Linked DNA regions of Oryctolagus cuniculus. The protein of the gene in region 1 interacts with the protein of each later gene in a pairwise test. Links are inferred from orthologs where the notes say so. Each region holds a gene or a part of one and is shown on either strand. Other genes may lie near its edges.

The links.
Region 2: the proteins of HAP1 (region 1) and HMOX2 interact in a two-hybrid assay, tested with the Homo sapiens proteins (2 studies listed by BioGRID and IntAct). The link is inferred for Oryctolagus cuniculus from reciprocal best matches to the Homo sapiens genes HAP1 and HMOX2.

The regions. Positions count from the first base shown.
Region 1 is NC_091448.1:20,964,758-20,968,250, forward strand, and holds part of HAP1 (huntingtin-associated protein 1), read left to right. Parts: coding exon 1-166; intron 167-299; coding exon 300-399; intron 400-476; coding exon 477-543; intron 544-1,675; coding exon 1,676-1,806; intron 1,807-2,415; coding exon 2,416-2,595; intron 2,596-2,732; coding exon 2,733-2,824; intron 2,825-3,117; coding exon 3,118-3,156; intron 3,157-3,493. UniProt on the Homo sapiens protein: Originally identified as neuronal protein that specifically associates with HTT/huntingtin and the binding is enhanced by an expanded polyglutamine repeat within HTT possibly affecting HAP1 interaction properties.
Region 2 is NC_091450.1:31,090,564-31,093,200, forward strand, and holds part of HMOX2 (heme oxygenase 2), read right to left. Parts: intron 556-2,637; coding exon 438-555; intron 30-437; coding exon 1-29.

The DNA.
Region 1 (3,493 bases):
AGGAAGAGGAGGAGGAGGAGGAAGAGGAAGGAGAGGAAGAGGAGGAGGAGGAGGAAGAAGAAGAGGAGGAGGAGGAGGAGGAGGAGGAGGAGGAAGAGGAGGAAGAAGAGGAACAGGAGGAAGAGGAGGCTCGGAGGCATGACCATCCCTATGACGACCCCAGGCCGTGAGCATCCTCCCCTTGCCCGGATGTGCACAGCTGGGACGCACAGGCTGCACCCCTAGCCCTGCTGGAGAGGCCATGGCTGGCTGGGAGCCGGGCCCCACGCCCCGCACCCTGACTCCCTTGCATCCCCCAGGCCCTCTCCGGAGGAGTCGCTGCACCACTGCCCACAGCTGGAGGCCCTGCAGCGGAAGCTGAGGCTGCTGGAGGAGGAGAATGACCAGCTTCGGGAGGAGGTGAGGCTGGGTGGGAGGGCAGGCCCTGGGGGCGGGCGCTGTTGACGCCCTGCCCCCTCCTCACTCCCTCCCTCTAGGCCTCTCACCTGGACACCCTGGAGGACGAGGAGCAGATGCTCATCCTGGAGTGCGTGGAGCAGTTTTGTACGTGCGGGTGCAGCCTGGGCTGGGGGCTGCCCCAGGAGTGCAGGGAGGCACCCGCGTTCTAGAGCCTGAGCTTCAAGCCCCAGCCCTGGCACCTCCTAGCTGTGTGGGCTCGGATGGTTCCTTGACCTCTCTGAGCCTTCTTCTTTACAAGGGGGTGTGGGGTGGGGTTAATAGTCCTGCCCCCATCCCTCAGGGCTTATGAGAATCCCCAGAGGCAACAGCTGAGGGAGTGCTTTGTGCAACGTGTAACGGGCTTTGCAGGGCCCTGGGGCTGCTCATCTACTGGAGGTAGCCAGGAGGGAGCCACGAGCTGCCAGAGGCCAGGCACACCGGGGCAGACTCCACACTGCCCTGGCCCCGAGCCTCTGGTCCAGCTGGGAGATGCAGGCCTCGGTGCCAGTGGTTGAACTCCTGTTGTCCCCTCACCCTGAACCTGACCTTCCCAGCTCCCCTGGGGAAGGAGCCAGCCCCCAGTTTCTGCTGCTTCTGCTCCCAGGAACGGCCTCAAGTCTCCTTGCTCCTCTGGGCTCCGGCTGCCTTTAGCCCAGGAAAATCACTAGCTGCCCCCTTGGAACGCTTTGGGTCTTCCAGACCCTTCTGCACACAGCCTAGCTGAGTCTTCTAAAACCAGATCTGACCATGTCACTCCTCCTGCTAACTCCCAGGCTTTGTGCTCTGGGCCCTGTCCGCTGCCCCAGCCAGACCCACGCGGTTCCCTCTGGGCCTGGCCGGTGTCTTCCCTTCTTTGCCTGGCCAAGCCTCTGCCCTGTGAGCTCAGCTCAGTGGTTCCTTCTCGCAGGAACCCTACCTGGGCCTTGGCAGGCTGGGTTGTGTGCTACAGTTATGACCCCTCCTCCCTGACCTTTGCCCCCCTCCCCACGACCTCCCCTTGACCTTTGCTCCATCATAACCTATGTAGATTGTTATTGTGAGTTTCTTTCCCCAGCTGTCCCCTACTAGACAAGCACAGTGTGGGCTGGGACCAGGCCTTGCTGACCACTGGCCCCAGTACCCTGCACGGTACCCAGAGGCGGATCAGGAGAAGCAGCTCTGGCGGGGGTGGGGAGGGGATGCTGAGCCCTCGGGAGCTGAGGGGTGGGTGACCTCTGACCTCTGCCCCCTCCCGCAGCTGAGGCCAGCCAGCAGATGGCCGAGCTGTCCGAGGTGCTGGTGCTCCGGCTGGAAAACTATGAGCGGCAGCAGAAGGAGATCACTCAGCTGCAGGCCCAGATCGCGAGGCTGCAGCAGCGCTGCCAGTCGGTGAGCCCGGGCGGGCGTGGGGAGCTTCCTCCCCGTGGCATGGCCCCTGGGGGCCCAGGCCTCTTCCCTGCCCCTGCCTCGTGGGGCTCTGGGCCCCTCTCCGTGTGAGTCAGAGCTGGAGGGGACGTCAAGGAGACACTCATCCCAGCGCCTCGTTGTCCTGAGGAGGGTCTAGAGGCTCCAGGAGCCAGGCCGCACAGCCCTCCGACCTAATCTGCCCTCCTCCCGTGTGGCTTCTAACTGCAGGGCTGCCCAAAATGCAGCCCGGGGTCGCCTTGCGGGGGGCCGGGGTGCCGTGCGGGCCTCGGGAGGGGCTTACTGGTCAGGTCCTTCCAGTATGGGGCTGAGACAGAGCCGCTGGCTTCAGAGAAGGGAATGCAGAGGTGAGGCTGCCCAGGCTGCTGGCCCTGCCCCTGCCCCGCCAGGCCCCGGGTCGGGTGGGGACTGAGGCTCCCGGCAGCCATCTGGCTCTCCTTAGAGGAAGAGCAGCCTGCAGGAGGGACTGGGTCCTGTCCTTTGCTCTTCCCTCTGTGTGTGGCCCAGGGTGCAGCGGGTGGTAGCTCAGGGAATTGCTGTTTGGGTCTAGAGCCTGGGCTTCTTGCCTTTTAGCCTAGGGCCAGGGCAGGCAAGAGTGTTGGGCTGGACGCACGTGGGTCCCAGCAGCTGCACGACGTGCGGGACAAGTACTCGGACTGCAGGGCCACACGCCAGGAGGAGGCGAAGACCTTCCGCCCGCAGCCCCCGATGTCCACCGGGTCGGTCACCCACTTCGCGTACAGCCTGCCGCTGGTGAGGACCCCTCCAGGGGGCTGCCTCTTTACCTCTGTGGGCCCTGCGTCTCAGCCCTGTCAGCTGCATTCTGTGCCTGGGGGTGTGAGTGGGGGTGCGGTGGGGTCCCCTGGTAATGTCCCCCCTGTTGGCCGTAGGGAGCACTTTCTGGCCTTCCGGCGTCCCTGGTTGATGAGCTCAAAATATCTATCGGGAGGATGGTCTCAGACCCCACGTATTTTACCGACAGGTGTGTTGCTGGGACCCCGGCCCCTTGCCTGACCCACACTCAGCCTCGTCCGTCCTGTGGGCAGCAGCCTTTCCTGTCGTGGGAGGGGGGCGGCCTTCGTGCTCGGCGCCTGCCTCCCTCCCTCTCTCAGCCCCTCCCATACTCGTGTGGTGTGGGATCCATCTTTTTTTTTTTTTTTTGGTGGGGAGAGGCAGATCCATCGGTTTTCCCTGGGACTTGTTGGCACGACAGGGCACCAGGGCGTTTGTGGTTCCAGCTTACATTGCTTCTGTGCCCACTTCTCTCTGTTGCAGGAGTTCCAGAAGGGCCAGGGGGGAGACACCAAACCAGGGGTAAGCTGGCCAGGGGCCTCCGCGTCACTGCCTGCAGCCGGCGCGGCAAGGAGAGTTGTGGGAGGGAGTGGCCCCCATTCCTTTGAAGCTTGCCCCCAGGAAGCTGTCTGCTTTAAGGTTGTGTCCAGGGGCTGAGAGGGGAAGAAACGCTGACCTAGGAACTGGGGACATCTGGGACTCAGTCCCCAGCTTGGTCCCATCCCATTGCTGGCTGGAAGTCCCACAGCCAGTGTCTTGGCCTGTCTGAGCCTTAGGACAATGGATTTGTTCCATGGCAACCAGCTGTGGGGTGGGTTGTGAAGGCGGAGGGACGGTTGGTCCTGCTGGGCTCTTCGGT
Region 2 (2,637 bases), on another chromosome or scaffold:
TATGTGAAGTAAAGTGCGGTGGTGGCCAGCTATTGGGGGGAGGGAGAGACACTGTTGGAATGTGCTGCAGGTTGGCCAGCAGTGCCCAGACTCACCGTGTTTGAACAGCTACAAAGGAGCAGGCAACACGCACCATCTAGCTCCTGAAGACCCAAGCCTGACTCGTTTTAATACAGTGAATTATTTAACATGCTCAGGAAGCTTTCGTGTCACAGGAAAAACATGATGAATTATTTGGGATATGGATGCTTTTGTTTCCTTTATGTCATTATGTCATTCCACTTAAGCCATGAGGAGAGGCACAGCTTACTGCCAAGAAAGTACGGAGCATGAAGAATGGCCCAGTTGCTCCCTTAGAGCAATTCCTTGGGACTAAAGTCCCCAACCTGACCCTGTGAGGCTGGAACCCACCCGCATCTGTGACTGACAGCACAAACCTTAAATATCTCCTTCTTAATGTTGCCTTTCAAGAAGTCCTTGACAAACTTGGTATTTTCTGCCCGGTCATGTGCTTCCTTGGTCCCTTCCTTCAGGAGCTCAGAGAGATCAGCCATTCTGTTGGGAGATGGGAATACAGGTGAGAGTATGTGACAGAGAAAATAAGAGTAAGTCCTTCCTAACTCTGGGTGGAAAGACCAGCCAGTCCCCAAGGTGGCCACTTGCTGCTCAGACACTTCATTCCAGCACCAGCAGCACAGCCTTGTCGGGGAGTGCAGGGTGAGCAGACAAGACAGTCTGTCCCAAGGACATGCGATGACTGGCCTGCTCCTCAAAGCACATGTACCTCGACTGGGGCAAGTGTTGTGGCACAGCAGGTTAACCACCACTTGGAACACCCACATCCCACATCGGAGTGCTAGGTTGAGTCCCAACCCCACTTTGGACCTAGCTTCCTGCTGGTGTACCTGGGGAGCAGCTAAGTCCTTATCACCCACAAGGAGAGCCAGGCTCCTGGCTTTAGCCTGGCCCAACCCACCCACTGTGACCATCTGAGCTGTGACCCCATGGACGGAAGATCTGTTCTTCCCAACCTCCTGCCACTCTACCTTTCAAATTTATCTTTAAAAAAAAAAAAAAAAAAAAAAGAACCACTGGGGGGCCGGTGTTGTGGCATGGCAATTTAAGCCACCACATTCAATGCCAGCATCCTACATGGGGGCCAGTTCAAGATCCAGCTGCTCCACTGCTGACCCAACTCCCTGCTAATGGCCTGGGAAAGCAGCAGAAGATGGCCCAGTGCTTAGGCCCCTGTACCCAAGTGGGAGACCTGGATGAAGCTCCTGGCTTTGGCCTGGTCCCAGCCCTGGCCATTGCAGCCATTTGGGGAGTGAACCAGCAGACCGAAGATCTGTCTCTCCTCTCTCTGTAACTCTTTCAAATAAATAAGTTGGGGCCAGTGCTGTGGCATAGCAGGTAAGGCTACCACCCACAGAGCCAGCATCCCATATGGGCGCTGGTTCAAGTCCCAGCTGCTGCACTTCCAATCCAGATCTCTCCCATGGCCTGGGAAAGCAGTAGAGGATGGCCCAAGACCATGGGCCCCTGCACCTGCACGGGAGACCTAGAAAAAGTTCCTGGCTCCTGGCTTTGGATCAGCACAGCTCTGGCCATTGCAGCCAACTGGGAAGTGAACAAGTGAATGGAAGACCTTTCTCTGCCTCTCCTTCTCTGTGTAACTCAAATAAATAAATAAATCTTTAAATAAGTAAGTCTTTAAAAAACCAAAACACTGAATCATGCTTTGTCTCTGTGGCCACCTAGTGGCTGAAGAAACCACCTCTACTCCCATCAGTGTTCCTGGCTTCTATAGCCTGGCCTTTGGGAATGGCTCAGATGCTGCAGCCATAAAGGACTGTGATTGGGGGCTGCTACTGTGGCACAGTGACGCAGCGGGTTAAAGCACCAGCACTGTAGGCATCCCATATGGGTGTCAGTTCAAGTCCCGGCTACTCCACTTCTGATCCAGCTTTCTGCTATTGGCCTGGGAAGGCAGTAGAAGATGGCCCAAGTCTTTGGACCCCTGCACCTGTGTGGGAGACTTGGGAGAAGCTCCTGGCTCCTGGTTTCTGCTCTGGCCGTTGCGATCATGTGTGGAGTGAACCAGTGGATGGAAGACTTCTCTGTAACTCTTTCAAATAAATAAATTTTTTTAGAAAAGAGGGGTGGGGACTGACTGTGAAGGCTGGGACAGTCCTTGGGTATGCTGCTGAACAAAATCACACAGGAAGTAAGTGTTGTTTCTGTACTTATAGAATGCTTCTGTGTGTACCTCACTACCTTTGCATCTGATTAACTGCATTGCTGGTTTCCATGGCAACAGAAATGAAGTTAATTAAGATCAGGAAGTTAGAATCAGAGAAAAATAGTATTTAACAAAGTCACATCATGTACATTTAAATTAGTTTCTTTTTAAAAAAAATGTTTTGGAGTAGAAAAAATATCAGGCGGCCGGCGCCGCGGCTCACTAGGCTAATCCTCCTCCTTGTGGCGCTGGCACAACGGGTTCTAGTCCCAGTAGGGGCGCCGGATTCTGTCCTGGTTGCCCCTCTTCCAGGCCAGCTCTCTGCTGTGGCCTGGGAGTGCAGTGGAGGATGGCCCAAGTGCTTGGGCCCTGCACCCCATGGGAGACCAGGATAA